Linked DNA regions of Arabidopsis thaliana. The protein of the gene in region 2 interacts with the protein of the main gene of each other region in a pairwise test. Each region holds a gene or a part of one and is shown on either strand. Other genes may lie near its edges.

Region 1 (18,197 bases), 5.5 Mb from region 2:
TTACTTACAGGGATCGACAATGCTTGGGATTGGGATAAGAAATGACACTGCGCGTAGTGAACTCTTGGTAGATTCGAGCTCACGGTACGAGATCATTGCAGCGGAGTATCTCAGCGGAAACAGTGTGTTGGCAGAACCGCCGTGGTTGCAGTACATGAGAGAATGGGGACCAAAGGTTGTGTACGATTCAAGAGAGGAGATAGAGAGATTGGTGAATCGATTTCCGAGGACGGTTAGGGTTTCGCTTGCCACAGTGCTTAGAAAACTTCCGGTGGAATTATCCGGCGAGGAAGGTCCTACAGGACCAAAGGAGAAGAACAATTGGTATGGCGATGAAAGATGTTGAAATTCTCACTGTTGGGAAACAGATGTGGTGAGATTACCATCGGAGCCCTAACTGTGTAACTTGTAAAGGAAGATGAAGCTTTGATTGCGCAAGAGATTAATTACACAATTAGCGTAGGATTAACGTAAAACTTGTCGTTAGAAGTGTATACAAGTGGGTCCCATCATGTATTTAATTAAAATAATAAAGTTATATAGACGAACAAACCTCCACCAAACGCAACGCACACATTCGTGTACCGTTTCCGATTTTTCGTTCCTCCAATTTCATTCTCTCTCTCTTTAAGAAAAATTCCTTGTTTTTGATCCGAGAATCGAAGTCGCCCTCGAATCAAGATTAAAACCTCGTTTAGTTCTCAATTTCAGTTCTGTGGATCCGTGCGTGACCTCAAGTTTTTTTTTTTTTTCTGTCTCGAAATTCAGAATCGTAGAGGTGTTGAAAGTTGAAACCTTTTTTTTGGTTTGCTTGGTTAATGGGTTTCTTCAAACTTGATCGATAATTGGATTTGAATCAAGGGTTTTAGTGTTCTTGCTTTGTGTATTCGTTTGGCAATTTGGGATAATGAATGGTTTGCAAGAAGTTTGTTCGTCAAGTGGGTCGGTGATGATCGGACTACCAGCTGAAGAAGACGAAAACGCCGCACATTCGTCGGAGGATTCATCTTGCCCCGACGAGTCAGTGTCAGAGACAGAGCTCGACCTAGCTTTGGGTCTTAGCATTGGTCGTCGGAAGGTTCGATCGTCTTTGTCTTCCTCGTCTTCTTCTCTGACCAGGGAAAGTGGGACCAAACGCTCTGCTGATTCTTCTCCGGCTGCCGCCTCAAACGCAACCAGGTAAAAAATTCATCTTCGAGACTTTATATTATAACCTATATGAATGATTGGTCTCAGATTGCTTATTGTTACAGAATCAAAGCAACTTAGAGGATAGAGCTTTTAGACCTTAAACTTTGAGAATGAATGAATCACAGGATTGAATCAAATAGAGTGTTCCCTGAAATGTTTAGTTAAACTTTTGAATCATATTGGTTTATACTTGTTCGTCTTTTGATTTAATATCTTTTGGTAATGGAGCAGACAAGTTGCTGTAGGTTGGCCGCCTCTACGGACTTACAGAATCAACAGTTTGGTCAATCAAGCAAAGTCTTTAGCTACGGAAGGCGGCTTGAGTTCTGGCATTCAAAAGGAGACTACAAAAAGTGTAGTGGTTGCTGCTAAGAACGATGATGCTTGCTTTATCAAATCGTCCAGGACTTCTATGCTTGTGAAGGTGACAATGGACGGAGTTATAATTGGAAGGAAGGTTGATCTCAATGCTCTGGATTCTTATGCAGCCTTAGAGAAAACTTTGGATCTAATGTTTTTCCAGATTCCTTCTCCTGTAACAAGTCAGTTACTAATTCTGTTTCATGAGATTCCATGTGATTCTGTTTTTCAAATTCTGTGTCTCTTGAAATTGACTGGTTTTGATTGATCGATTTGTAGGATCCAACACACAAGGATACAAGACAATTAAGGAAACATGTACTTCGAAATTACTGGATGGCTCATCGGAATATATCATAACATATCAAGATAAAGACGGAGATTGGATGCTTGTAGGAGATGTTCCTTGGCAGTAAGTGACTACCCTTATAACTTCCCATTCATCATCTGTATTTGTAATGTGGCACATCCATTTCAATGAAAACGATCTTTTCATCTTCTCAGGATGTTCCTCGGGTCTGTGACAAGACTGAGAATCATGAAGACATCAATTGGAGCTGGAGTAGGTAAGTAGAGAGTCCTATATAGCAAAAACAGTTTACATCTCTTTGGTCTGTAACTCATATATCACATTCACATATATACATGTGCATATGTTTATACATGAGTGTACATATGTCTTGTGGTCGTTTGTGAATATCAAACAACAGCTTAACCTTGTCTTTAAAGATCTTTGTATATTTAGGGTTTTTCACTCTATTGGTGCCTGATCCAATATACCACTATAACAACAAAGGCATGCATCTGGATTAGGGTTTAGTGATGAAATCAAGCTACAGTAATATGATAGAATCACCAGTAGTTTCATTCCCTGGAAAATGAAATACAGCTCTTGTGCGTACAATAACAACAATCAATCAGCTTCACGAGGTTTTCTTAGCATAAAAACCTAATAAACCTAACACAGTCTTGAAACAGAATGAAAAACGTTTTCCTTCATTGGCTCAGTTAGTCTTCAAGGTTACAGAGATTGGACTTCTAACTCGCTGCATCAGATTATGAGAGTTGACCCAAGTCAACTGCCCTTGTGCAAAGCTAGCCACCTTCCCTCCTCTGTTTTTCTTCTTCAATACAAACCATACTCTATAGCTCAGCGTCTGATCCACGTGTTTGAACACAAGTCTCTTAGGATTGACAATAACTTTGATCCCCTCTGGAGCCTTGACATTCACTGAGTATATCGAGTTAGGACTCCCAACGTTAGTGACACGCCTTGTGATCATCTCCGTAGTCTTGCCACGTTTGAAAATCACGGCTATCGACGGGTAATTGAGACTAAAACCCGGGTTTTTCCGCAATATTCCATTGCAGCTCACGTTCTTATGAGTGATTGCTAAAATATCTGATCTTGTGAATCCAAGAGTGCAGAGGTAAGTTATGTAATCCACTGGTTGAATGTTGTAAACCAATCCCGGGTTTATCGCCTTTTGCGGATTCACATGCCCTGCTCCAATCGCAAACACACCGGCTGGTTTGTTACCATCCTTTATCGCTTTCCCTTGACGATCGTACAAATCCGCTGTTGTCATCAATGCGGATTTGATTGCAGCTGGAGACCAGTTCGGGTATGCAGACCGGATAAGAGCAGTGATTCCGCTAACATGTGGACAAGACATTGAAGTTCCTGACATTACAGTGAAGTTAACTCTTCTTGAATCATAAGGAAGTCCGGTTGGTCCTAGATTTTGAGGCCAAGCCGCAATGATATTGACTCCCGGAGCAATCATATCCGGTTTTAGTATCGAAGGATTGGCTAAACTCGGTCCTCGAGCTGAAAACTGAGCCACCTCCGGTGCTCGTGACCTCCCAATCACCGTACCACCAAAAATTATCCGCGCCTTTGGTTTCACCGTGGCATTAACATAAGCCTTCAGAAGGACTGACTCAGTGTAACCAATCAATGTAGCTGGTAAGAGATGAACGTCAATAGAATCTTCTTCTTGGTTGATCTCTGTATTGGCTAAGATCATTGCAACTCCTCCAGCTTCTTTAACCGCTTCTCCTTTCTCCGATCTTCCATTGACTCCGCGATCACAAATCACCATTTTGCCTCGGATTTCTTCTCTTGGAAGTGACCCTCTCAAACAGAACTCACTTCCTTTATCTCCTCCTGTGACGTAAATCACCTCAACCTCTCTCCCGGCATTCTTTATACCTTTTCCCGGATACAATGACTCTCCATAGAGAAGCTTTCCGTTGGCTAATCTGACCACAGCGGGAAATCTTCGATCAAGCGTGCCTGCGCCAATGGTTGAGACCCAAGGAGCTGTGTTTGCAACAGAGCTTTCGATTGGACCGTTGTTACCAGCTGCACAGATTACAGATATACCGCGTTCCATGGCTCGGAATGTTCCAATGGCGATTGTGTCATCATACAAAGGAATAGGGAAACCGCCAAGGGAAAGCGAAAGAACATCGACTTTATCTTGAATCGCTACATCTATAGCTGCTAGAATGTCAGAGCTGTAACAACCATTGAACCAACAGACTTTATAGACTGCAATGTGAGCTCCAGGAGCCATCCCACGAGCCACACCAGCTCCATTGCCAAGAACATTCGCCATCGAAACAGAGGATCCACCAACTGTTGAGGCGGTGTGAGTCCCGTGTCCCGTTGAATCTCTTGCGGAAATGTATTCACGAGGCATGTTTGGTGATTCCTCTGGTGAATTAGCGACACGGTGTCCTCTGATGAAGAATCTAGCACCGATTAGCTTCCGGTTACAGCTCGAAGAACTGAAACTTTCTCCTTCTTGGCAAATCCCTTTCCATTTCCGTGGAATCGAAGGCATTCCGGTATCGTCAAAGCTAGGACTTTCAGGCCAAACTCCAGTATCAAGCACGCCGATAATTGTGCCTTGACCAAACCGAGATTTAGACCATACACCGGAGTTTCCAAAACCGTCGAGTCCCAAGAACTTGTAAGAGTAAGTGGTTTGAACCTGAAGAACATGGTCAGGTCTCACTGCAACAACTTCAGGTGAATATCTCAGTATCTCGGCTTCTGATTCAGTCAACTGAGCAGCAAATCCTTCAATCGCAGAGCCATAGGAGTAGAGAAGTCGAGAAGAAGGCTCTTCCTCTTCTTCTTCAACACCTAAAACCGCTTCTTGGAGAAAAGAAAGATGCCAATCAAACTTTGAGGCAAAGGTTTTAGCGGTTTCGCTATTAGGATGAAGCTGAACAATGTAAGTCTGCTTCTGCAGGATCTCTGACGAAGAAGAACAAAATAGAAGAAAGATAATGCAGAGAAAGAAAGGTTTGGGTTCCATTGGAGAGAGTTAAAAAAAGGAGTTGGTTTAGTGTAGTTGAAGTGCATGGTTTTAGAGAAGAAGAAGAATAGGGTATTTAAAGAAGAATGAAGAGAATTCAAAACCTGGGATTTGGAGTCTAAGGAAGAAGATGATGAAGCTCGTGAAGAGTAAGAGCTCTGCCTCACGAGTATCCTTTGTATGTTGCAGAGGTAGGAGCTTCTTCTCTTTTATTTTTTTCTAAGACATGAACTATATTAACTGAAGCTGTTTAAGGTTTTTCACTTGTAAGGCTTTTTTGTCTGCCTTGTCTCTGTGTCTCTGTTTTTCCTTTTTTTTTCCTTGTTCACGAGATGTTATGGTTAGGTTTTATTGCGTATAGTAGTTTGTGTAGCCTTTTTCAGCAACAAAAGATTTTGAAATTTATTTGGTTTCCATTGAAGTTTTACCAAGCCAAAGAAAATTCATTTAACAATAACTTAATAATCAACCATTGGCCAAATATATGTATTTTTTTAAAAACATACTATTAAACTTAGTTAAAGCCTTGAATAGGAAAATACGACCGTTGAGAAAGGAATTAAATGCAGCAGCGTGGTTAGTGTTCGTTCACTACGTGCATTTATACACGCACGCTCAACACGCCTCGTTTTGTCATCGGGTACTACGTCACAACAAAACGACGTCGTACAGATATTGTTATATTGGGCTCTGTACAACTTATAAGCCCAGTACTGATTACACTTATAATAAGCCCAATACAGATCACACTTGAGGGATGATGACGAATGATTAGTAGTTTCTACTCTAATCTTTGTTTGTTTTTGCAGTTTATTGATAAACATGAAAACCAAAGAAACTAACTGTTCCATACAAAAAAAGTTTCTCCCAATGTTCGACAGAAGAGATTTAAACCCAAAGTTTTTTAAGCGCGGAGATTTTGGCATCCTTTCATGCTTTTTCTTTTCTTAAACCCTGTGGAAAACTCTCTCTTACTTTAGACCTTAAGCTTTTGTCACATATCAGTTCTTTTATATCCTCTTGAGAAAAGAAACCCCCTAAACTGAATTTTTAACATGGAGGATCATAATTCAGGGATTCCAGTAGATCTTGAGGAGTATTCTGTTACCAATTTCAAGAACATCGATGATTTGTCTTCTAATAGCCGTGCAGGAGTATCAAACTCTGCTACTCTACCTGCAACAAACCATAAACATAAACATTGAATTCTCCCAAAAGACGACGAGTAATATGAAGAAAGATCCATGTTTTTAATTTGTATGAGACTAACCGTCGCTGAGAACCAAAACTAGGTCACTGTCTATAACAGTTGGTATCCGGTGAGCAATGGTGCAGACCGTGCAGTCTTCAAACTCTGTTCTGATTATCTTCTGGATCAGATTGTCTGTTGCTGTGTCAACCGATGCTGTTGCTTCATCAAGAACAAGTATTTTGGCTTGTTTCAGTAATGCTCGTCCAAGTGACACAAGCTGTCTCTGCCCTACACTCCAGTTATCTCCATTTTCCAGTACTACTCGGTTTTGAGCCAAAAAAATCAGTAGAAAGAAGCGAAAAAGACCCGGGAAAAAGAGAGGACTTTTGATGTAAATAGTTACCTGGAGAGTCAAGTTTTAGGTCTTTTCCTCTAACAACGTCTCCAAGCTGGGATTTATCAAGCGCCTGTCAGCAAAGTTGGGTAAATCTCTAGAATCAAACTCCAAATCTCAGAGTTTAGTGTCTAAAACATAAACAAGATAAGAGTATCAAACAACATATTTATAGATACCTCCCAGATTTTATCATCTGAATGTTCTTCAAGTGGGTCAAGATTTGCTCGGATTGTTCCTTCAAATAATGTAGGATCTTGAGGTATAATCCCAAGGCGACTACGAAGATCATGAAGACCAATTTGAGAAATGTCAATGTTGTCAATAGTAATTTTTCCAGCAGTTGGCTCAATCAATCGAAACAAAGCTTGAATCAAAGTCGACTTTCCGCTTCCCGTTCGCCCAACAATCCCAATCTTTTTTCCACCCGGAAACACACAGCTCACCCCATGGAGTACTGTTGGAAGATTCTCAGCATAACGAACCTTCGAAAAGAACGAAGCAATAAGAAAGCAGGGAAAGGAAGTGCAGAGAGGTAATAAAAATAGTATTTTTGAATAGTACCTTAACATCAACTAGCTCAATTGTTCCCGTTGCAGGCCACGAGGAAGGCGGGCGGAAATCTTCTATAATTGCTGGGGCCTCTCCTACAATCTGACTGTACTGATAAATCCTTTCGATTGAGATTATTTTGTTTTCAAGCTTACAAAAGCTAAGTATCCATCGTGATAGACGTCCATTCAAGTTAAGTCCATATGTCACAGCAAGACCTGCCATGCCTATTACAACAGGAACATCAATATTAGAAAAACCGGCTGCTCGTTGATGCTTTTTTTGTTATAGTAACTAGAGATACTTACTTGGATCAATGGTTCCATGTGGAAAACTGACGAGTAAAACCATACAGAAAGCAAATACAAGTGTGGAAAGTAATTCCATGCGTAAACAAAGCCATTCGATAGCAGCGATACTGCAGAAGAAAGGTCGAACAAAACAATCTAGAAGATAAAGATTCCTTTTGATAAATCTTTTTTCCTGGCCAAATCCTCTTATTGTGGCAGCACCAGCAATTGATTCTCCAAAAAGATGAATTATTGGAGACTTCTGGATACTAACTATCCGAACCAATTCTCTTGAAGAAGCCATGTAATATTTCTGCATTTTATTTCAATATAAACTAAATTACGAAAACAATCTTTCACAGTTATTCAGAGGAAAAATCGAAAATAGATTTACCTGCATCCAAAAGCAAGCAACAGCTACCGGAACAACAAGAAGGAAAACTTGCCAGGTAACATTGGTCATTACAGCGACAATGCCACAGAGTTGTATTGTTGTTGAAGCAAACCCACCGAGTCTAAAAGGAATGTCAAGATCTACAACACTTTGATCAATAGAAACCTGCACATCAATAAAATCCCCAAAATCAGAAAAGTAACACAGAAACTGTGGAATTTGGTTATAATACCACATCTACATACCCGATTCAAAATTCTTCCTGCAGGAGTGGAATCAAAGAATGACATTGGCGCTCGGAACACACTTCTGAGCATATTTAAGAACAGTTTCTGTGCAGCTGCAAGACCAAAAGTTGCAACCAGAGCAGCTCGAACAAATATGAACACAGAGCTCCCGAAAGCTAAAGCCGTATAAACGATGAGAAGCAGAGTAGGATCCACTTTAGATTCGTCACCTTCAGTTTGAGGATTTGCCCAAGCCATCCACCAATTACTAGCAATCTGAAGAAATTGGAAAGCAGCTTGTGCGAGTATAATAAGAGGAATCAGAGCCCCTTTATATGCAGCACCCATGTATGACAAGTACACCTTCATGCTGACTTTTCCCTTTACTCGTTCCTCTTCTTGAACAAGCTGCTTTTTGCGGGAACGCTTAGCTTTCTTCTTCTTCTCTTTGATTGCCTTTAGATCTGAAGCAGATCCTCCCTCTTGTACTTCCTTTGCCAAAGTCTCGATGTCATTTTCAAAAACATCAGACTTTGGATTATGCAAGACCAAACTATCGCGAATAGGATTTTCATCAGAGTCTTCTGAGGAGGGACTTGGGATGTCCATTGCCTCGATTGCTTCATGGTGGGCAGACACTAAGGCCTTAAAATCAGTACCTGCTTGCAGCAGATCATCATATTTACCCGATTGAATAATCCTGCCTTCCTTCAGAACCTTTGAAACAACACAAATAAATATTTCAGAGCTTATCATAACGGAAACAGTTTGGAAACTCCTTCAACAATTTTACCTTTCTGCAACAATAGAGATAAGTTCATCACAGGCTGGTAAGCTAAACACCTAAAAGAGACCCTTTAGCAATTCTAAAAGGACCAACAGTAGCCAGAATTAATGTGTAGTAAAACCGAGAAAAAAGAGTTTCTTACCAATATTAGATCAGCTGCAGGGAGAAACTCAACTTGATGCGTTACAAAAACCACAGTTTTCTCAGCCAATGCAGATAGAATATAATCCTGTATAGCCATTAATAACCGTGTTACGCAAACGTTCAAACTCAAAATATGAAAACATGACTTGAATAGCTTCTTACCCTAAACAAATCAGAGCCAGTGTGTGCATCAAGAGCACTAAAAGGGTCGTCTAGTAAATAAATGTCAGCATCTTGATATAATGCCCTTGCAAGTTGTACACGCTGTTTCTGACCTCCGCTGAGATTTATACCTCTCTCCCCGATAATAGTTTGGTCCCCATGTGAGAAAAGCTCTATATCTTTCTTTAGGGAACATGCTTGTATCACATTCTTGTACTTTGTTTTCTCCATTGGACTGCCAAATAGAATGTTTTCTTCAATGTTACCAGACTGAATCCAAGCCGATTGAGACACATAACCAGTAGTACCACATATTCTAACCTATATAACAATTATCAGCAGTTGGATCAATGATAGCTAAGTGAATATAAGAAAAGAAAAGAAAAAATAGTGAAGCAATTGAGACAAACACCCCAAAACATTAACTTACTTCGCCAGAGATTTTTGGGATTTCCCCTAGGATGCAAGAGATAAAACTTGATTTTCCAGAGCCAACTGTGCCACAGACAGCCACACGCATACCCTTCTCCACTTTCATCTGAATCCCAGATAATGTCGGCCTTGAAGAAAAAGGGTCCCAACAAAACACACCATCTTTAATCTCTATGGCTATATTCGAAAGTCCCCGTGGAATAACAACAGTTGCATCTTCTTGAAGTTCTTCCTCCTGCAAGAACCCAGAAATCCTATCAAGAGAAACCTTTGTCTGAGCCATCATTGAAACCAGATCAGGAAAGTTCCGAAGTGGCTCCTGAAGAATTCTGAATGTCGCCAGAGCAGAAAGAACACCTCCAGCGGTAAGTTGAGTGCCTAGAAATATCGAAGTAGCGAATGTAACTGCGGCGACAAAAATGGGGGAACTCCAAAAGATAAAAGTAACAAAAGCCTGAGAATATAAGGCTTTGCGAAGCCAACCATACTCCTCTTCCCTCATTTCTTCCAATCTCACTCTATAACGATCTTCCCATGCCTGCAATTTCAGAACTCTCATGTTCCTAAGACACTCTGAGGTTTTCCTCATTCTTTCATCTTTCGCAGTCATCAACTTATCTTGATAGTCTTCCTGGACCTTAGCGAGTGGAATCGTGACAAGAATCGAGATTATTGTAGCAACCAATGTAGCTACAGCAGCTATGCCCACGCTTTTATATAGGATTGCAAGAGCAAGAACTATTTGCATCGGAAGCATCCAAATATCATGAAGATACCATGAGTAATCTCCTATGCGCTGGACATCGACTGCCATGTAGTTTACAATTTCACCGCTCGTGTGGTTCTGCTTGGCTATACTTGAAAGTTTGAGACCTTTTCGGTATACCATTGCTGTAAGAGCTGATCTAACATGCATCCCTAGGATATCAACACCCATATACCACTGGCGGGTGGTGACTGTCTCTATAAGCTTGGACGTAAAGAATATCCCAGCGAGTACGTATCCTTCATGAGGGAAAATCTCCTTCCCTCCAAGATAATCAACAAAGTAGCTGATCAAGTAAGGACCGACATAGGACACAAGAGTATTCAACCCAGCAAATACGGCATTGCAAGCAGCTTCTTTCCAAAATGATTTCATAATTGCACGAGCTAAAGAAGGAGGCTTTGAAGGATTCTCGGACTTGCATCTCTTCCAATTCGACTTCAAGACCTTGTAACTTGATTTGGCTCTATCTCTTGGTGCAAGAAGCGGTATATCCTTAAGCTCAAGCGGTCTTTTTGAACCAGCCGAGAGAAGTGGATCCAACCATGAAAGCGTAATAAGGCTAACTAGCCCAGCAGTACTATATGGAGTAACTTTAAGACAAGCTGCCTCTTCTTCAACAAGCAAAGGCTCTTGAAGATCAGAGGAGCTTCTGGTAACTTGAATACCAGAAACGCCTCTCCAGGCCAGAAAGCAGAGAAACCCAAGAGCAGGTGTAACAGCTAAATTGGCGACAACATGAGAAGAACATCTGCTCCAACCTTCAATGGCTAGCCTTCTTCCATCGACATACATAGTACAGAGGCAAATCGAAAACGCCAGGAACCACCATATCCTCACCAAGAAGGGTAGCTTCTCTGAAGACTTGTATTTCAAATGAAGAACTAAGAAGCTAAGGACAAACCAAGCTAAACTCTGAGAAGCTGGAAAGCAAAGAACAAACCAGTCACTGACTTCTCTTCTAACCTTAACCCCATCATATACTAACACCAAAACTTGGACGCCTAACACATATAAGCAACAGAGCAAAGACAGATTAAACCCAAACCCAACACTAACATGGTTAACCTCTCTTTCCAAGCTAAGATTAGAAGCTGAAACCGTATCGTCCTTAGAGAGCCTATCTCTGCCTCTTCTCACGCAGACGAGAATCTGCCTCGCGGAGACAGCAAATAGAAAGACAAGAAAGAGTAGGAGGTTGATGATGACCGAACATAGTTCCAGTAGTGGCAAATGCTCTCGAAAGATCAACGAGATCTCAATAAAATCCATGATCGGGAAAGATTTGTGATAGAGAGTTTGTTTAAAATCAACAACCGGCGGATTGTTCGAGATAGAACAAGCATCTCACCACATCCCAAAGCTCGTAGCTGCAGAAGAAGAAAAAAAACAAAGGAGAGAGAGGCGATGAATCTTATATTTCAAAGTGGAATTGACACATTGCAAATCAAAACAAAATGAGTTTCTCTGCATGACCCAACACGTAGAAGCGATCACAGAGATACAAAAATACAAACAACAAACAAACAAACAAACAAACAAAAAGGAAACTTTGGCTCTCACCAGCTCTTAATAGATCAAAATCGATATTTCCCAGAGAAGAAGATAGAGAATGAGAAGAAACAAATCAGCTGAAACCAGACGTCACTTGGGTTCTTGAGAGCAATCGAGAAGAGAGATCTCTCTTCTCTTTAATTAAAATCAACAAGAAAAAAATTAACAATTTCTTCTGTTTCTCTCTAATCCTTCATTCGCCAACGAAAAAAAATGCAAAATTTATTGGTTGGATCGATTAAAGATTGTGCAAAGTAGTGGAAGAAGATTGGGAATTTAATAAAGGAGCTTCCTTTGCCTAAAATAAAATAAAAAATAAAGGTGGTTCCTTTGGGCTTTTTGGATGCTTTCTCGTGGACTTACTGTTTTGCTTAGTGTGTGTGTTAATAATAAAGCCGTAAGCTCTTTGTGCGCTCACGATGCTTGACGTCGATGCGTCAATGTGTCTGTATGTGATCTGACTTTTTTGGTGATTTCATTTTTCAATTGTCTTTACTCTTTATGATCAAATTATTGTATTATTTGACCATATATGTTATCAATAAAAGCACTTATCATTAAACTTAACCATGGTAAGCAATGAATCATATTCCGATTCTTTTACGTTTTTATTCTCTCGATTCGTTTTATACGAAATCGCCAATCATAACTCAAACGAAAGAAATTACCATTTTGCTAATCTAAGCTGTGTCTAATTAATTGTGGGATACAATGGAGGAGGAACCTTATACGGTCCATGGAATATTCTACACGTGACGTGATGAGTATTATGTATTGTCTACAAGGCTACAAATATTACTAAAATAAAACTGTATAGGTGTCAGTATATTACAAAATACTATATAATCACTGGTTTATCAATTCCTATGTATACACATTGAGCTTTTTAAAATTCATTTGTAGAAAGTGGAGACATACACGTTATCGTTTCAATACATATATATAAAAGAAAGAAAACCAATCTATCATCTCTGCACCAAAACAATGAGACAAATGTGTCAACTTGATTAAAAGATATAAAAGAATAGCGTAAGAGTATGAAATTAATGACTTTATATATAGTCCAAAGATCCAAACTTATACTCACCACCAAATTGTTCGTATGTACTAATACTATAGTATAATTACATGCACTCTTGCTCTCAAGTGAGAGAGTGTGAGACTATTCAGATAAGCAACTATATAAGACCAACAAAAGATGATTTTTTTTTAATTCTTGCCCGTATGTGTTTATTTGTTTGTTTGTTTGGACAATATGCGGATGACGACTTACTACACATGCCATTCATGCAAGGTAATGCGTCTTACGTGGCATACCATTTTCTAATACATGTATGATTAAATGTCAATTATTGCTGACTATGCAGTAAAAAATGTGTACGTTAATATGTCCTTTGATTAATATATTACATTTGGTTATACACGGTACGTCAACACATTTCTAGTTCGCAATAGGGAATTCTACGTTCTTCCACATATAGTATTTCAAATATATATATAGACTGAATCTTCCTTCTTCCAATCAACTTATATTCTCACGAATAATAGAAATTAATTTCAACTATATATGATGATGTAACTTGGAAGAATTAAGGAGATGATGTAACAATCTAGAAGCCTTGATAGTGTATTATAATGTTATACATAAATAATGACAATTGTAATATAGTTGTTAATGCTGCGTAGTTTTTGTCATTTGCGTTTGTTTGGTATAGTAATGGCTTTGTTCAAACTTTTTTTGTACCACTTTCGGTCCATGCCAGCTCACTTTCCATTATCTTTCGTTTGCATAAATACAAATTTCAAAAAGGTAGCTTTTCTTAGATGAAAAAAAAACAGTATATATGTTGCTCAGTTCATGAACACTGTATATGAACCAAATGTCGCTTACGTATGCAAATTGTTCAATTGAGGAGGACAAACAACAACAAAAAAGATAGTGGAACATGCGATCTTCTTTAAGTTCAAACCGTGTGTAACGTGGATAATGATAGTGGTGCGTGGTCCTTTAACAAAAGAACTAATCATAGTGTAATATACCTAACACATTTCTCTCACATGTTATCTATTTGTTTTAGGTGTTGACATATGACCTAAAAGAAGCCTCTGTATTGTTGCTTAAACGCAGGCACTGCCTGGAATGTTAACAGGGCTAATTGCGAGTTATAAATATTCAGTTGTTGTAAGTCTTATCAAACTATTATTGTCTATTGATGATTTAACAAATACCAAGCCAAACACAATTTAATTCCTATCGCACTATTTTGGTAAGGTGATTGGTGATTGGTGAATGTGAATTCAATACTAAATGATGTTACAGATTGTACGGGCCAAGTTAGGCCCATTGAATGGCCCACCACCTTAAATTCAACTATGGTACTAAGAAAAGTTCTATCACTTGTCGTTTTATTTCTCACCGACCTTTTTCTTACATTGTCCCCCGCTCTCACCTTTCCTTTAGACTCCGGTGTCTCAGTCTCACTGTCACTGGAATTTATTATTCGACTCAGAAATTTCACTTTAAAAAAAAAAATCTCATGTGTGTTAAATTTGGGCCCATAATACTCTCTCATATACACACAATCGAGGCTCATGATAGCTATTGAGATCAAACCGGGACAATAGTATTAAACCGGTATTCGGTTAACGAGAGGAAATAACCGGTATCTGTCCCTCTCCCTCCAAAGAACTCGAAGCTTCTTCTTCTTCTTCTTCTCCTGCTTCTGTCGTCGTCTAGGTTAATCGAATATTTCACTATTTGCTTTCTATCTTTCTGCTGCGAATCAATGGCGCTATGGATGGACGCTGGAGCGACGCCGACCACGGAGAAGGAAAAGGCTGATCTTGAAGCTATTTCTGCTCTCAAAGAATCCACCGCCATCGAATTCAAAGTACCTCTCTCTTCTCTGGCTCGTTCGATTTTGATGTTTGATGTAGTATCGATTTCATTCCTTTGCTGTTTAAACACAGGAAGAGGGCAATGAATGTGTAAGGAAAGGGAAAAAGCATTACTCTGAGGCGATTGATTGTTACACGAAAGCCATTAGTCAGGGAGTTCTAAGTGATTCAGAGACCTCTATTTTGTTCTCGAATCGATCCCATGTTAATCTACTCTTAGGCAACTATCGGCGTGCCCTCACCGATGCTGAGGAATCAATGAGGTTATCTCCTCATAACGTTAAGGTAGTAAGCTAAACTTTCTCTTTGATTTCGTTGTACCGTTTTGGTTGGTTTCTCTGATGGGTTTCAATGCTTCAAAAGGCGGTGTATCGAGCTGCTAAGGCATCCATGTCATTGGATTTGCTGAACGAGGCAAAGTCTTATTGTGAAAAGGGAATCGAGAATGATCCGAGTAATGAGGACATGAAGAAGCTTTTAAAACTTGTGAATTCAAAGAAGCAAGAGAAAGAACAACATGAGGCTCAAGCCTCACAGGCGGTGGTGGAAGCCAAGGTTAGATTTACATGAATATCAAGCTTTAATACATTACAAGTCATTTCACTTTGAGCATTTTAGCTGACTCAGTTTTCCTTGGTTTCACTACAGGCTTGTCTCTCTGCGATCGAGAACAGAGGAGTGAAGATTGGCAAAGCAATGTACCGAGAACTCACTGGTTTGAAGAAGCCAATGTTAGATAAAAACAACATCCTTCATTGGCCTGTCCTGCTTCTTTACGCTGAGGCCATGACAAGTGACTTTGTTGAGGACTTTTGTGAAACAGACATGTTTGCAACTCATCTTGATATGATATCCTTTTGCCAGTTTCCTTTCGTTTCTTATTCTTGCATCTCATTTCGATAACGTCTATAGACTGTTCAATGCGCTTTATGTCCCTCCTTAGCGCTCTAAACATGTTTTCAGAGGACAGCCCGCCGCTGCCATGGGATAAAAACAACGAATACTCACGTGATGTTATTGAGCTTTACTACGAGGTAATCACTCCTACTTCACCCACACATCATTCATGTATTAACAAATTCTTGTTCAGGTCTTCCTGCGCTATCTTACAAAAGTATTTTCAGTCAAAATGTTTCAGCTTAGCCATTCTGTTTTTAATGTCCACAGCCTCTCAAATTCTTACATATGGCTTTCGTTTTATCCACTAGCAAGAGAATCATTTCTTTTTTTATAACACTGATGATTTAGTCGAACATCTTCAATGAAAAGTGTGTGTTATATGAAGCACTGGTAGTAACATCAGGATCTTTCTTTTCTCTAGGCGAGTTCAGGAACTCCATTGCCTAGGAGTAGAGTTCTCCAGTATCTTTTAGAAGGTACAAAAGGTTCTCAAGCTGAAACTACCGGAGAAGAGGACACAAGCGCAACCAAAACACCCTCCTACCGTAAGGATCCTAAACTTGTGATATGATATGCATTTTGCATTGCCAATCATTCTATATAACATATATTCCTTGAATTTGGGTGAAAGTGAAAGGTTCTTCGGGTATGGTTAAAGTGAACGAGAGAAGAACATTGCATGACGTGTTGAAAGAACCTAAGTTTGTCATCCCTGAGATTCCAGGTTTGTTTGTATGATCACATTGGCGTCTGTTTTCTAACAGTTGCTACAGACTTCGTTTGCGTCATTAACGCCTCTCTTCTTGTTTTTTGGTTGGTTACAGTCTTTTACATCGTATCAAAGAGGTCCAAATTCTACAAGGACTTTACCGCTGGAAAATGGACTCCACCAAACTAAAGAATTGAGTTAGAAAGAGAATAGTTGATGATAATTTTTTGCAGCTTCTTTTTGTTGTTGGTTGTCGTAATCTATTACTGTTACCGTTCAAAGACACAAACCTGTTCTGAGTTATGGCTAGGGCTCCGCCACGTCCAAACTTTTCTAGGTAACGAAAGTAAAAAACCAAGGGGAAAAAAACGATCTTACAGAGGAAAAAACGTGGTTACAATCTTAGTTACAAACTACAACATCAATTTATCAAACAAAAAAACATCTTTTTTTTTTACATTTTTCTGAAGTCATTTTAAACAACAAACTCAGAAACCTGCTTCATTTCTTTTTTGTTTTTTTAAAGAAAAGGGTTTGCAAATGGAAGATAGGCCATCCCAACCTACGGCCCTCAACAGTATATAAGAAAATAAGAAAAAGATACCACCAGCTCGTGAATGGAAAAAAGCTTCTCAGGTTTGGAATCGCACAGCGGGTAGGACAACTAAAAGCACCGCGAGCAAACAGAACGGGAAGAATAACCCGAAAAGAAACAAAGGAAGGTAAATAGTCCCGCAATGCAAGATCTGTCTATGAGAGTGTGTATATAGAATGGTTGAGACCCAAATTCTTCCCTGTCTAGCATTCTAACGCATAGGTCTGCACCTGTGGTTCAAAATTTTTCCAAGGATGGAAATCGAAACATTCATATGTTAGTTCAAAAAGATTCGTTTGCTTTCATTCATCTTTTATTATTATTTCAAGAAGATCAACCTTGTTAATAATTCTACCTCGGCCAAGTTCTCATCGGGAGAGCTATTTGGTGCAGTGAGATTGGACGCAGCAGCTGTGTTGTACCGGAAGATCCTTAGTTTTCCCTCCTGAGATAAATATTGAGCAAATATCAATACAAGTCAACATTTTAGCGCCGAGAAGTTTTTCACATTACGATTTAGGATTAATTACCTTTGTTCCATAGACAAGACCTCCCCCAGGAGAAGGATGAAAGCAAGCAACATTAACTTCATCCTCTGAGCTTGGAAGTACTCTCACCAGTTCCATATCTGAAACTCTGTAAATCTGAAGGAATAGAAAGGGAAAAACACAGTCTAAACTCTTGTATGATATTCCAAGTGTATATAGTTAATGATATAAAATGGCATCTGCTAAACATTGTTCTGCTGGTCTAGAAATTCATAACTACTGGAGCATAGACGTTACCTCCAAAACTGTGAAAAAATGTGATGTTGTTTCTCCATCACTCACAATGCTCTTCAAAAGAGAACCATGACGACGACCATATGCAAGCAGAATGTGCTCGGAGGTTGGTGAGAACTGCACGGAAATTTTTAATTATAAAGTATTTCATCACAAAAATACAAGTGAACAACTCTATTTACTATTAGGGGTGAAATCTCAAGGAACTTTGCAGTTATGAAGTACTTGAACAATGTTATGTCTAGAAAAAAGTTGCAACAGAGACTTATGTCTAACAAATTTATTTAATCCAACCAAATTGTGGCTAACCTGGATAGAGGTTAAGCAATGTGCAGCCCTAATTGCCCGGGACACAAGTACCGAACCAAATCTGCAGACATACATAAGACATTTTCTCTTGAGTTTTTTTTTGTTTTGTGCTGTGTAAAATTTTGAAAAAGGTAACAAGAAAAACAATTGGAAGTAGCACTTACGATTCTTTTTCCAGAGAATACACACGAAGTTCATACATGACTTGATGTGCTGTGACAGGATGT
Region 2 (15,320 bases):
CATATTTGGTCACACACACGGAGGCTGCTGCCAATTCAAGGTCTCAACTTTTTTTTTTGCTCTCCTTTTATATTTTCACTTCATTTCTCTTACCTAAACTTTCAAATATACCCCTCATCTTTAATTAGTTTCCAAATAACACCTAATAGTCTTATTCTTACAAGAATTCTCCCCATTCTTAATAGTTTTTTTTATTCCCCTTTCATAACTTCTTTCTCTCAATTAGCCAGTAAATATTTCTATTTTGTTTGATACATGATAAATTCGAAGTATTTTTTGTGGTTTTAAAAAGGATTATGTGTTTTATGGAGTTATAGAAGAATATATGGCTTTGACTAAAAAGAAGAAGAAATTGAGCTTCTTTTTGTTATTTTCCACTTTGGTTAGTTCTTAATTGCAACGTAGAAGCCTTGCCCTCCCCAAGTTTCGCAAGTCTTCAACAAAAATGTTCCGCAAGTCTTCGCTATTACACGTGGCGTTGCTTTCATGTCTTGCCCGTGACTGTCCTGTTACTCTAGTGGTCAGAGAAAGTTTCTTTTTCAGTTGTATTTTGACTATTCAGATTTTGGTGGTAAGTTGAGAAACGAGAACTTTTAGCGGAATAAGCATTATATGATTAAAAAAACTCTATAATCAAAGAAGAATAATTGTCTTGTAGAGTTTGCTAATCCTCTTCTCCAAGCAAGGTGCAAAGTCTCCTCTGCATACTAGGCTTAGTTCAATACATCTTTCAATCTAGTTAGGCCCATTAGCCCGTTATGTTTACAAAGTTAAAAGCCCACTTACTTGAGAAAATTCACAGATGCACACATGCATTAGATTATGTACTGCAATCTGAAAATGCATGATGAGAGGTCTCATACACAAAACAAAATCAAAAACAATTTAGAAAAATATTAGAGTAACTTATAAAGACTGTTACAGCTGAAACTAAAATACTAATAAATTCGACTTCTGGCAATAATTAAGGATTACATCTCTTTTGTTTAGAGTATAATTGAACTTTTGGAGCTGTAATATAATTTGTATGTATGATTTATGAAAAGTGATTGAACTTATACATAGATGGAAAAGTTGGCGTAACAACATGCATGATACATACAGAACACATGCAGCCACAGCATTTGAATAGAACACATCATCACAATTCCCAAACATAATCATTCTCTTCAGCAAAAAGACACACTCTTTCCAAATATAATTGTCACTTTTACTGTTTTAAATTTTAAGTTATGCCAGCTTTAAAGTTGCCGACGACAAAAGCATGTCCATCGTTTCTTTCTTCTTCGGAAGATTAATCAGAGGATTTAAAATAATCTAAATTCGAGATTATGTTGTATAAATATCCATTTTGAAACTTGAATGAACAAAAAACCGATAAAGTTTTCCACGAATAAGTTGTTGGTGTTTTTAGTAGGTTCATAGATAGGAGGGTGGAAGGTCTCTAGTTGGGCAATAAATTGAAACCGCTTTTTTCTGACCTACCAAATATTAATTTGATCGAATCATTGAAAAAAATACATATATAAAATTATCCATATAAAAACTATGTAGTTTGCTTTAAAATATTTCATCGTATGCAATGATATATGCATACTTAATCCACCACATGTCCCTTGAAACAAAAGCACTTAAGCTCTGTGTGGTTGACATTAAATCACACATTTCATTTTGTTAAAATTAAAGTCTAAAATTTTATTCATGGTAGTACATCCATCATCAAAGACCATTTTCATTGAACAAAATAAAGTTTCAATCTCTAATCCTTTGTGAAAATTCTTACTACTATATATTAATTAGGTCTTTTGGAATATAGACGCGCAACACACATTTTCTTATATATGGATTGAATGGTATCCAAATCCCCAAGGTAATGTAATGTAAAACCAAGATAAAGAAAACGAGTATGACATTGACAATTGAACTTGTAGCGAAGTCAGGATAGGACGACTTGCGGTTTCTACTTTCTAAGCCAAAGAAACATAGTTTTCATTGATTTTTAGTGTTTTTAAATTTGTTGTTGACTTCCATTAATGGAATATTTCGTACTTTGCTTCTTCTTTTCGAATTTTATTTACCTATATAACTTTGCTTTATTTTCTACAACACAATAAGTATTGCTCATAATTGAGGAAGTCTATACACACAATATTTTCCTATCCTTTCTTTTTTTCTGTCGGGAATTTCTTCATATCCTAGCATCTAGATTATGATTGTACACATACAAAAACAGAAAAGAACTAGACTTCAAAATAATGCAAATTAGAAACAAAAAATTGCTCCAAAAAAAATATATTCAAAACTATAAATAAAATATTATTATGATTTTTCTTCTATTTTACGTACATTGTATATCTCTAGAGAAGAAAATAATTTTTAAAAAATAGTTTGGGATCAACGTCGCACTTATTGTTTTGTCTTACAATCTCAGAGTCTCACCGTATCCACCACGCTGGTCAACAACTTCAACAAAACTCTCTTCCTCGAACTTCAATCTTATCCCTTCATTTCATTACCATTAATTCACACCAACGGCTAACATTGTCCTCCTCGCTAAACTGTTAATTATACGTTTGGCCGTAATGTTTTGAAGTCTGCCTATATTTCTTTTCAATAAATGCTCTTTTAATTAGGTTTTAATTTGGTGAAATCCAACCTTTAAATTTTCTGATGCTGTTAAATCTAAGAGTTTGAATTTTCTAAAATCATTGTTGTCGGTTATCATTTGTACATCTTGATAGAACTATAATATGATCAATATAAACTTATAATAATAATAACTGAAAATACAAATGATTTTGTTTGTTTGTTTATAAAACCACTGAAAAATGCAAGAGTTAATCCACTGAGTTCAACCAAAAAATAAAGAAGTGAATTCTATTAGTCATAAGCTTGGACCAAAAAATCCATCTAGAAGAAAAAAAAAATTGAAAAAAAATTACAAGTTTCTAAGAAGATGGTGCAATGGTTAGAAAAATCTCTCAAGTTATTAAATGCATCATAAACTAATACTGTATATTACTATACACAAAAATCAAAGACTCCCTTTTTTTTAATTGAATCAAACAAAATCCGAAATTTCGAAAGGTCCGACTTTTCCTCACCTGAACCCGCGTTTTCTCTCCCCCTCCCAACCCAACTCTCCAATTCGCCGGAAAATCACCGCCACCGTCACTTCCGGCGTCCATATGAACTAAAGAGATAAGCTTTTTTCTTCTATAATCCTTCTTCTTCTTCTTCCTTGATCTCCTTTCTCTGAGTTTGCTGAGTTTCTTAACTCAGCCATGGGTAACTGTAACGCCTGTGTAAGGCCAGACTCAAAAGAATCAAAACCATCTTCAAAGCCGAAAAAACCCAATCGAGATCGGAAATTAAACCCATTCGCCGGAGATTTCACCAGATCCCCAGCTCCAATACGTGTTCTCAAAGATGTAATCCCTATGAGCAATCAAACTCAGATCAGCGACAAATACATCTTAGGTCGTGAATTAGGTCGAGGCGAATTCGGAATCACTTACCTCTGTACTGATCGTGAAACCCACGAAGCTTTAGCTTGCAAATCGATTTCAAAGCGAAAGCTTCGAACAGCTGTCGATATCGAAGACGTTCGTCGTGAGGTAGCGATTATGTCTACTTTACCTGAGCATCCAAACGTAGTTAAGCTTAAGGCTAGTTATGAGGATAACGAGAACGTGCATCTGGTTATGGAGCTTTGTGAAGGAGGTGAGCTTTTTGATCGGATTGTTGCTAGAGGACATTACACGGAGCGTGCTGCTGCAGCTGTTGCGAGAACGATTGCTGAGGTTGTGATGATGTGTCACTCTAATGGAGTTATGCATCGAGATTTGAAACCTGAGAATTTCTTGTTTGCTAATAAAAAGGAGAATTCTCCACTAAAGGCTATTGATTTTGGCTTGTCTGTGTTCTTCAAACCTGGTAAAGATTCAATTTTTAGTGTTTCTTAACTCAGTGGATGGTTCTATTTTTAGACTATCCTGCCATATCTTCATGTTTATGGAAGTTTGTGTAGATATCTGAGATTGGGTAAATAACGTTTTCTTTATTGTAGGAGATAAGTTTACAGAGATTGTAGGAAGTCCGTATTATATGGCTCCAGAAGTGTTGAAGAGAGATTATGGACCAGGGGTTGATGTGTGGAGTGCCGGAGTTATTATCTATATCTTGCTCTGTGGTGTTCCTCCGTTTTGGGCTGGTTAGCTTCTTCTTTTAATTATTTTAGCAGCTGTGTAATTGTTCACCTATGTTGATTAGATAAACCGATAAGATTGTGGTTTCTATTGACAGAGACTGAACAAGGTGTTGCTCTTGCGATCTTGCGGGGAGTTCTTGATTTTAAGAGAGACCCTTGGCCTCAGATATCAGAGAGTGCCAAGAGCCTTGTGAAGCAGATGTTGGATCCTGATCCGACTAAGCGGTTAACTGCTCAGCAAGTGTTAGGTGAAGTTCTTGTGTTTCTGTTTTCTTTAATGGTCGTAGTTACCTTAATCCACTCTATTACTAATGATTTTCTTTTTCTCACCTTTCAGCTCACCCATGGATACAGAATGCAAAGAAAGCTCCCAATGTTCCTTTAGGAGATATAGTCAGATCTAGGTTGAAGCAGTTCTCTATGATGAACAGATTCAAAAAGAAAGTTCTTCGTGTAAGTGTTTTTTTTTTGCCTTTTACTTTTCTGCTGAAGTTTGTAGAGAGTCTGTTGTGTGTGTCTATATTTGGTTTTGATCATTATCATCCCTGTTAATGCTTCCAGGTAATTGCGGAGCACTTGTCTATTCAAGAGGTTGAAGTGATAAAGAACATGTTCTCACTGATGGATGATGACAAGGATGGTAAAATAACTTACCCGGAACTCAAAGCTGGGCTTCAGAAGGTCGGTTCACAACTTGGTGAACCAGAGATCAAAATGTTGATGGAAGTGGTAATTTAAGCATTGCCCTTATCTGATTAAAGACCAATTCAGTGTTCTTCTCTGATAAACATAGCTGAAATCTGTATGGCTTTGACGCGCAGGCGGATGTCGATGGAAATGGGTTTCTGGATTATGGAGAGTTTGTAGCTGTGATAATTCACTTGCAGAAGATAGAGAATGATGAACTTTTCAAACTAGCTTTTATGTTTTTCGACAAAGATGGAAGTACATACATTGAACTTGATGAGCTACGGGAAGCTTTAGCGGATGAGTTAGGCGAGCCAGACGCCAGTGTTCTAAGCGACATCATGCGTGAAGTTGACACTGACAAGGTTCTTTCAAATATCCAAAAAAATCCTCCTTTAAGGCCTAACAATAAAGCTTGTCAAGAGAAAAGATATATCCCTCTGCTTCTGAGTCGGATTGTTGGGCTTGTTTGCTTTTTACAGGACGGACGTATAAACTATGATGAGTTTGTGACGATGATGAAAGCTGGAACTGACTGGAGAAAGGCATCGAGACAATATTCAAGAGAGAGGTTCAAAAGCTTAAGCATTAACTTGATGAAAGATGGGTCATTGCATCTCCATGACGCTCTCACTGGACAAACTGTTCCTGTTTAAATTTATTCGTTATCACCAAAAACAGAGCAATGCTCCGTTTTTTCCCCATTTCATAAATTGGGAATTTTCCGGGCTTGTTCTTTGAGGGATGGGAATTTTACGGAAGCTATGGTTCTTTACATATATAAACATTTTACATTGTATTTTGTATGTAATGTTTTGTTCAAAGGTTGTATTTTTATTGTCTCAAAGCCCCTAAACCAAAGAGTCAAAGGAAAGATCTTTATTACACTGACACCTTATCAAACTCAGCAGAAGTCTTGTCCATGTCCTTGTCCTTGGCCACAACATCTTTGTAACGGTACCAATGTGAGACCAACAAGAAATAGGCCAAGTTTAGAGTCATCATACCAGCAACCAAGAAGTAGAAATACTCCAATCTTCCCTTGTTTAAATCTTCCGGAAGCCAACTTCCTCCTGAAAATCCCTCTGTGGTATCGTGTACCGCCGATAACAAAAAGGTGCTGAGGTAACTCGCCAATCCGATTCCACAATAATACAGAGAACCAGCAAAACTTCGCATGTTCTCTGGAAACTGTTTGTAGTAAAACTCCATTTGTCCAACTCCAGCGAGGGCGTCCGCGATACCCATTAGCACTAGCTGAGGAATCAACCACATACCGGACATCGAAGAGATTGCGCCTTTTCTTGGGGCCAACCCTAGCGTCGGTTTTGTGAGAGCTACCTTTCTTCTGTATTGTTCTACAATTGCAGACACCATCATACTTGTGATGCATAGAAACAGTCCTGCTCCAACTCTCTGCAGTTGTGTGATACCGCCGTCTCTGCCTGTATACTTTCTAAGGAAAGGTACAAGGACGCGGTCATAGATAGGTATGAATATCGTCATTCCAAGCATTAGGAAGACGGTATAAGAACCGGCCGGGATCTGGAAACTTCCTGGACCAAGGCGTCTATCGGATTGAAGAGACTGAAAGATTGTGTAGGTTGTTTGTTGAATGTAAGCTAGGTAGAATAAGGCGGCCGAGAGCCAAACCGGAAGCACCCGGATCACGCATTTAACTTCCTCCACTTGTTGCATACTGCAGAGTTTCCATGCATCCACCGGCGACCCATCTTTGTTCAGCTTGTCGTCTTGTGTTTGGATTGCCGATTTGTCAAGAAACCTGCAAATTAAGAAAACCCTAAAATGTTTCTAAGTTGTTCCACAAGAAACTAAGAGAAGTAGTGAGGTTATTAGTACCTGAACTGCTCTGTATGGCCCAATTTCGAGTTCTTGAAATCACTGGCGATGTAGTTGTAAAGCTCGTTAGGCCCAACGGGCTTTAACCGCCTCTTCTTGATCGCGACAACAATGACACGAGTTATGCTGTGAATGGGACTGCCACTAGCTTTAACCTTGACATAGAGCTTAGAACCAGCGAAGAATATGATGCAACCAAGTAGCATTAGAATAGCTGGGATGGCTAAACCAATGCTCCAGCTCACGTTTGACTGAACATAGACGATGAGGGTTAACGACACCATCTGAGCAAACGTGAAGGTGAAGAAATACCAATTGAAGAAACTCTCAATCCCTCGTTTCCCTTCTTTTGTCTTCGGATCGAACTGATCAGCACCAAATGGAAGATTGCATGGCCTAATCCCACCGGCTCCGATCACCAGCAAAACCATTGCTCCGGCGAGAAACATGATTTGTCCGATGGATGGCCCATTGCACACGCTTCCTATTTCCTTAGCGCATTGAGCTGGATGCAGGGGATGAATCACAGCCGTTAGATCCATTGCCACCGAACCCTTTGCATCAAACACAACAAACGATTGAAACTTTCAGACATAATCAGCTAGTTTTTTTTCAAACTGAAAATTGTGATGAATAGGTTTTAGAATTTACGAGAAAGCAAGCGATCATGGCGAAAGATAGGGTCTTGTAGCGGCCAAAGTAGGAGTCACAGAGGAAAGCAGCGACGATGGTGCCAAAGTTGCTTGTGCCACCGTAGATGTTGACGACTTTCGCAGCCGTGATGCTCTTCATGTTGAAAACCGTCGTTAAGTATATAACCAGATTCGATGAACTTCCAACAATCCCCAATTTTTCAAATGTCTCATTTCCTACCAAATTAAGAAACAGAGCATTAAGTTACTCTGTTCATAAAATCCTCTGTTTTCTCTATCAGTTTCTTGTTCGTTTCAAGACCAAAAATGTTATAATAAATAAAAATAAAAAACATGAAAGAAACAGATCCATAAAAAAAGTCCTATGTTTTAATTTTATGAATCAAATGTTTTTTTTGTCAATGAATCAAATGTTTCATAAATAATAATAAAAACATACTAAAAGAGCACGAAATTAATAAATATTCTTATATTTTTGTTTATTTATTTCTAATAAATATTTTTATTTATTTACAAGTATAAAGTCCTCATGTTTTTCCATCAGTTTTTTGTTCGTTTCAAGATTATGAGTGTAAGTAAACAAAAATCATAATTTTGAAACGAACAAGAAACTGATGAAAAAAACATGATGACTTTATACTTGTAAGCAAACAAAAGTATTTATCAAAAAAAAAAAATATATATATATATATATAAGAAAGAATATGGATGAATAAATACCAATGATGAAGGGCATGACTTTCCATCCTCTGTAGATGATCTTAGACTCATCATCCTCTGCAATGTTCTTCTCTGTCTTCTCAACCTCCATTGTTATGTTTTTCTCTATGCTCTGCTCTGCTTTCTCTAAGTGTGTGTAATGTGTTAGTATATGTGTGTGTGTATATATATATTAGTGGGAAGTGAGAAGGATCTCATTATGAGACCAAAAAAGCTATTTGGAGATTATACCAAAACAAAAGTGTTGGATTAGAATATAGATTTGAGTAAAAAGAGTCGGCTTTATCGAAAGGAGAGGACTGGAGTTGGTATTCCTCACTTCATTGTTTTGATTTGTCAACTAACACACTAACGTTCGGATAACTTATTAGTTTATTTGTTGCCATGACTTATGTAATATTCTTAACTCGTTATTTAAACATTAAGTAGCAGTCAAGAGTTCATCTTTAATATCTGTAATATCGACAACGAATCTATCCTTTTACTTTTCATCTAGTAGGTATTCTTAAACAATATGAAAAAATGATAAAAGAAGAAGAAGAAAGCTAAGAAGAGTTGTTTAAGAATCATATATTGTGCCAATACGAACATATTTCTGTAATGTTGACAATTGGCTTTTTAGTTGAATGCAATAAACTTTCAAAAATGCAAAAGGAATCTTCTCGCTACCGTTACTTTTTTTCTTCTCAAAACTTTAATTATGTAAAAGAAACATTTAAGCATGCAAAAGAGAAATAAGGAGACGACCATTGCATTCAAAAATCATGTTGATTCGTTTTGATAAATATGACCCTCAAGAGGGGTAAATTGTATTATTGGCGGTCAACTAATATCCATATTCTTTTTTATTTTACCGATTATAGTTCATGTACATTTCTAGGTTTTTTAAAATATATCTATATAAGTAATGAATGAATGAATTAGACATTTATTTCGAAATTTTCTATACTATCAAAAATAGAAACCCACCGAATTACGATTTAATTTGGAGAACAAGAGTATATGTTAACTAAAAGTCTTATCTAAAAAAGATGTACATTTGCTTCTTCTTTTTCAAGTGATGGGTAAAAGAATATTTATATTAATTTCATAATAAATAGAAAGTTGTCTTTGAAATTATTGCTACAGAAATAAAGCATTTCAATTTTATAGTGAGATATGATTGTGAGAACAATTAGAAGAGAATATGAGTGATGGAGAAGACAGTTTTGATTATCAAGGGAACAAAAAAGTATCTTTTCCTAAATGATATAACCCAAAAAAATCAAATCCCTTTTGATTGGATTAGTCCAAAAGAAACCACCCATCACTTTTCTGAAACCCCATTAGCACACTATCGGTAATCTAATTACGTTCGTTCGTTAATAAGTAGTAATAAAGATTTGTTTTTGGAGCCTTAATTATTATGTTTTGTTATTGTCACATAATATTCCTAAATAATTTGTCATTTTTTCGTGAAGGTGGAAATATACGTCAGCTTTGGATCACAACGTGCGTAAGTGTTTCATTTGATGGACCTCATAGAGTCATAGTCGCTTCAAAGGCTTCTAGTCTGGTCAGAAATTGGACAACAAGTAGCTAAAAGAAGATTTAAAGTGTACCATGCAGCATCATCATTAGTGTTGCTTCTATTTACAATATACACACCAATGACCAAACACACAAATGATACAAACCAATTTAGTTATTAAACAATCTCAATTCCCGCCTTTCTTTAGTTGATTGGTTGCAAAGCTGACTCATGTTCAAGTGACTTAGTGAACTGCAGAAAACACATATCAATCTGATTTGAGATTTCATAAAAGACATGGAAATTGCAGTGAGAGTGTTTAACAACATTCTTGAAGACTTTTTCACCTGAGAGATCTTAAGCTCAAGCTCGTTCCACTCCGAGGAAGGATTGCTTCCTGAAACGATTCCTGTTCCTGCATAGATCAATGCTCCAAGACCCTGGGAGACACAAAAGGACCAAGATAAATGCACTGTATTTAACAGTGAATGACCCGTTTGCTACACTAAGGGGAGTTGTCACCTTTTCGACTAAAGCAGATCGTATGCCTACAGAAAATTCACTCTCCCCACCACCAAAGAACCCAATAGGTCCAGCATACATTCCTCTATCAAATGACTCTGGAAAAAGAAGAAGAATATGTATCTCGGTATAAGCATATATTAGTAGATAGCTACTTCTACAGAGAAATTCTTTTTTCCGAAAAGACAGTGAAAGAAAATTTGAAAAGCATCGGAATCAAATTATGTTATACCAATTTGTTTAATCAAAAGCCTAGCTTCTTCTACTGGACATCCGCAAACAGCTGGCGTCGGATGCAAAGCAGTTAAGATGTTAAACTGAAACATAGACAAACATATTTTGAGGTAAGAGAGAAAACGTAGCTTTTTTCACTCAATGGAAAGAGGACTGTAGTATGAGACTACAACAGATTATAAGTTAAAGGAAACTCATATCTGTCTATTTTAGATAACCTGCAGAACAAGTCAAGTGATTTAGATGATCATGAGAGGTTAAAATCATGTAAGAAATGTCATGTAACCTCATCATCTTCTCTTTTTAGCTGTCCTGCCAATTGAGAATATAGATGCTGTACTCTTGCAAGCTTTCTCACTGATTTATGGGGTTTAACTACTACCCTGTCACATATGGTCTGCAAAGCAGAAGAGAGGATTACAAGAAAAATAAAATCAGAAGGTTATATATAAAAAAGACATTCAAGATAAATATGTTTTAGCATTCACAAAGATTCTGCTAAATAAATGTTCTTCTACTTGAAGCCAGGAATTGAGGTTGATGAGTAAAAATATTGAACTTACTTTAAGTTTTTCTCTTATATTCTCTCGGACAATAGAAAACTCAAGATCGTCTTTGGGACTACAGTAGTATTTGCAAATAATATCAGTACACATATCTGGAAGTTTCTAAACATGCATCTTGTAAGTGTACAAAGCACAAAACAAACAGTTGACCTGGTTAGTAAGTCGCGCTCTATCTCCATTTCACGAACCTTTGAATCACCTCTAGGCCTTGTTGCAGCCAAAGCCTCACTGCAGACACCTAGATGTTTTCTGTGGAAGAGTCTCTCAGGCTGCTCCATTAAGATGTATGTCAACATTATCATAGCAGCTAAAAAACAGAGTTTGGCAACAACTTATCTACCACGTAAGAAGAATAAGTAACCTACCGTGTTCCCTATGAATGCTGGTGCACCGGGTGGTTGAAGACAGAATTGGTACGCGTCTTGTCCTTCACACTGTCATATTAATAATTAGACTCAGATTTCAACACTTCAAAATTGATATAACCGGAAGAAAGTGATTAGTCTAACAAATGAGTGAGGAAGAAAAAGACACCTGCAACCGTGCTAACCAAGCGATAGGATCAATGTCGGTATCCGTAATGATTCTGCTACTGCGTGCAAGCACAACCTGATCCCCAAACCAAAATTTCGTCACTGAAACCCATAAAATGTATACAAAAAAGGAAGATAAGGTTCCTTAAGTACCTTGCTTAGGGGTGAATGTTTGTCCTTGATAATCTCTAGAGCATTATTCACAGCAGGGTAATAGGCTCCTTCACTTGGAACATGGTTCTTGCTAACAACAATAACTCCTAAAGATTCTCGCCGTAATCTCATTATAACAGAAGAAACCTGATAAAACCAGACAGTTTTAGCTTTGATTATATCAAGTAACTAATAAGTTAAGGAGCAGATTTAGAAAATGGCTAACCTGAAGCATAGTTTCCTGAAGTGCTTCAATAGCATTTTCAAGCGTCCATGAGAGCTCATTGTCCCAAGCAACAGTTGCAGCCAGCATTGAGCTTCCTCCAAACTCATCAAACTCGACCTATGTGTATATCAACAAAACAAAGTCATTATTAGTCCATGGTAACAACAATTATCTTAAAGAAATCAAATTCTAGTACCTGGGGCACTGTAAAGTAAAACGAGCCAAAATGTTCCCATTCCACAGCGATCTTCCCTGTAGGATCAAATCGAAGACCTCCATAGGCACGAATCAGAGGAGACTTTGAAGACAAGAACCTTCAAAACAGGGGAAATGAACATAAGAAGCGAAGAGATAAACAGCAGAAAGAATCAAACTTCATGAAGATAAAAAACTTTCGGTGCTGGTACCTTCGGATTGATCTCCAGTCATCATGAGAAAACGGGTCGAGATCGCGGAAAAAGACAGCAGACCCGATTCCAGCGACACTAACTGGATTATGATCAGATGATCCATTGTCACTTGAGAAGTCTTGAAGAAGATCTGGACGGCCAGAATCGCTACGACGGGAAAAGAAACTGCGAGGAAGAATTTCGTTCTGTGCATGAAGCCAATCGATTGCTCCAATTTTCTGCTCAATTGGTACCTTCAATCACAAGATTAACGTCTATGAAAATAGGGCTTTATTTTTATTTTTGCGCGGGAGAGAATATAAGTCGCTAATGTTTCGATTTTTGATTTTTTACCACTATTTATTTTCTTTTATCTTAAAAGTCAAATATTTTTCTTCCAGATAAACCCATGAAATTAAAATCTTACTTTCTTACATCATGAAATAACTATTTACCTTAATTATTTTCATAAACAGATAAATCCATTATAATAGTATTGATAACATTCATAAAAAGAGACTACTTGCTTGATATTTTTCTAAAAATCTAACAATAATTTATTTATTTGCAGAAATACAAAAATATTGAACCAATGATGCAAAATAGTTCAAACCTGACCCCCATACTATTTGGGTAGATAGATTTTAAATCTAACAATAAAGTTGAGTCAATCTATGTTTATGCAACCGACAGTCCGACAGCAAGAAATGGAACAATATCACACATACCAATGTAAGAGCTCCACGTGGCTTAAGCTCATTTGTTTTTTAATCATTGTTTGCCTTACGAATTTTTGGAATGGCACAAAGCCACAAACTAATGAAGAAATTATTACGAATTTACGTACCTGTAATCGGACAATGCCGGAGGAGAATGGAGGCGGTTGAGATTTGAGGTCAGAGACGGCGGTTATCAGCCTCTCCGTCGCGGCTGCCGGAGATGGCACCGTTGATAGAGTCCTTGTTTCTACCGTGCCAAGTGGTGCTTTGTGGTCAGCCTCACATCCGTTCATAGACAGTGTACAGCGTAGGAACCTCTGTTTCACAAAGAGGGTTTCAAATACTGTGACGTAAAAGACAAAGAAAAACAGAGTGGTTTTGCTGAAACCTGAAAATGATTGAAAACAAAAAACGAAAAAAAAAAAACCTGGCGAGAGACACGAGAGGATAATTTGGTGAATGAGGTTCGAGAGTAGCTTTGGAAGATCGAACTGGGATTGTATTTTTTAGGGTTTGTGCCCAGAAAATGGAATGAACACTGAAGCGACGCCATTAGAGAGACTACGAAGATGTTGATATTATTGTATGGCACTGAGACTTCAACTTGTACGATATGTCTTGCCTGAATATATATACATATATATAGATGTGATCCTGAAATTGGTCCCACATTATGTTAAATTTCGTTTTGAGTTTCATGAAAACTGCTCAAGAAATTCGGTCTATAACTAGATTTTAACCCGACAACTCATTTTTAACAATTAATATATATAAAAATTTGTAAATTATTTTATAGTTTGCAATTGTTACTAAGTAACGTCCTGCCAAACCCGTCTACAATAAAAACTATTTATTTTATTAATATTGATCTTATTTATAATATCTTTATGAATCATTGTCAAAATATTTTAGTCGTTACGGGACATTGAACCCACACATTTTTCGCCTATTGGTTAATATATGTTCATTCTTAAAATTTCGAATCACAAAATAGGACGAAATTGTTTTGAGATTTTTTAAACTCTATATGTTATATAATGATGTTAATTTTTTTGATATAATAAACTTTTTATAAATTTAAATATTAATAATGTTTTATGAAGTTTAAATATATATATAATAATATTTAAAAAATTAATATTTTTTGCCTCTTTAAATAATGATATAATAACTCTAAAAGCAAGAATTTAGAAGATTTAAATCTTTAATTAAATATTTTCATGCCTAAATAATTAATGTCAGTAGCATGACATTGTAAATAAGTTCAAATACATGATTTGTTTATTTAAACAAAAAACGTTTAGTAAGAACAATATTTATTTAAACAAAAAACTTTATTTTAAAATATTGTTAACAAAATACGTTTATGCTAATTTTAAGGGATTGATGTGAAGTTTGTCTGGATTAAATTTTATTGATAATGTAATTGACAATTTAAATTAAGAATTTAAAGTAAAATTAATTATTTTGAAAAAAAGATTTAATGCTAATGGCATTGGATTGTAAATAAGTTCAACTCTAAGATTTATTTGCTAAAATGGCTGCAAAAATGTATATATAGATAGATTTGTAATGTAATTTAATATCGACTGTGTGATTGTTTAATAATTAACAAAATGAAGATTTTATTTGGTAATCAGGATCTATCATGAAACGAATCTCAGACTAATTTTTCAAATATTTATCTAAAATTTAGCATTCTTGTCCCATGTTCATGTACCATTCGAACGTTGCGCCTCTACAGTACACCACCATTTCGTTACCAAAATAGCCTTAGCGGGCAAATCATATGTAGTTATAGAATACCGTTCTTAACATTTAGATCATGTTCTTCGTTAATATAATGGCACATCTGATTAATTAGGTTAAACACAGTTAGCCATGTATCATAGATTTCTATGGACATTTAAATAGACGTTTATCAAATGAATGAATCAAAATAGCTTTTAATTTATCTAATGGATGTTCAGCAAAATTAAACTAAACCATAAATCTATATTATTATTTTTAACAAACCATAAAATCTAAATTTAAACCCTAATCTTTATTTAATAAAATAGATCGACATATACGGTATAAAATATGCTCGGGATAAATAAATAAAAAACTAATCGTCTCGTAACAATTAAGGTAAAATTGTCCTATCTTTGTAAATAATATATTTTCTGTTAGCACTTAGCCACTTAGTAGTGGAAATGTGGAATTAATCTGCTCCAAACTCTAGAGATTAGTGAAAAGAAAAACCCTTGAGATTTGGAAGAGAGTTAGACTCTTCTTATATATTCTTAAACAAATATCTGTCTCTTACAAACTTTTACATATTCAGTTTCTATAAACC

The links.
Region 1: the proteins of NRT1.9 (region 2) and ABCC5 interact in a protein complementation assay, tested with the Arabidopsis thaliana proteins (one large-scale study listed by BioGRID).

The regions. Positions count from the first base shown.
Region 1 is NC_003070.9:1,058,902-1,077,098, forward strand, and holds ABCC5 (multidrug resistance-associated protein 5), read right to left. Parts: upstream 12,180-18,197; 5' UTR 11,787-12,179; intron 11,594-11,786; 5' UTR 11,496-11,593; coding exon 9,456-11,495; intron 9,347-9,455; coding exon 9,026-9,346; intron 8,949-9,025; coding exon 8,862-8,948; intron 8,650-8,861; coding exon 7,951-8,649; intron 7,871-7,950; coding exon 7,706-7,870; intron 7,625-7,705; coding exon 7,330-7,624; intron 7,249-7,329; coding exon 7,034-7,248; intron 6,955-7,033; coding exon 6,649-6,954; intron 6,543-6,648; coding exon 6,479-6,542; intron 6,394-6,478; coding exon 6,154-6,393; intron 6,060-6,153; coding exon 5,947-6,059; 3' UTR 5,363-5,946; downstream 1-5,362. Other genes in the region: AT1G04090 (vacuolar sorting-associated protein (DUF946)), read left to right, coding at 1-346; IAA10 (indoleacetic acid-induced protein 10), read left to right, coding at 908-1,179, 1,423-1,733, 1,831-1,963, 2,056-2,125; SDD1 (Subtilase family protein), read right to left, coding at 2,556-4,883; TPR2 (Tetratricopeptide repeat (TPR)-like superfamily protein), read left to right, coding at 14,564-14,668, 14,748-14,960, 15,039-15,230, 15,324-15,524, 15,629-15,709, 15,997-16,120, 16,207-16,299, 16,400-16,473; AT1G04140 (Transducin family protein / WD-40 repeat family protein), read right to left, coding at 17,091-17,109, 17,218-17,324, 17,410-17,523, 17,665-17,778, 17,971-18,031, 18,135-18,197. UniProt on the Arabidopsis thaliana protein: Pump for glutathione S-conjugates. Involved in regulation of K(+) and Na(+) cell content.
Region 2 is NC_003070.9:6,513,701-6,529,020, reverse strand, and holds NRT1.9 (Major facilitator superfamily protein), read right to left. Parts: upstream 8,301-15,320; 5' UTR 8,222-8,300; coding exon 8,131-8,221; intron 8,081-8,130; exon of another isoform or gene 7,897-8,080; intron 7,627-7,896; coding exon 7,409-7,626; intron 7,312-7,408; coding exon 6,758-7,311; intron 6,681-6,757; coding exon 5,780-6,680; 3' UTR 5,653-5,779; downstream 1-5,652. Other genes in the region: CDPK1 (calcium-dependent protein kinase 1), read left to right, coding at 3,285-3,936, 4,070-4,213, 4,306-4,458, 4,548-4,663, 4,772-4,939, 5,032-5,262, 5,380-5,553; AT1G18871 (uncharacterized protein), read left to right, coding at 9,536-9,712; ICS2 (isochorismate synthase 2), read right to left, coding at 9,845-9,892, 9,988-10,080, 10,163-10,260, 10,395-10,479, 10,683-10,793, 10,960-11,017, 11,113-11,231, 11,328-11,396 and 7 more. UniProt on the Arabidopsis thaliana protein: Low-affinity nitrate transporter facilitating nitrate loading into root phloem. Not involved in dipeptides transport, but has a weak glucosinolate transport activity.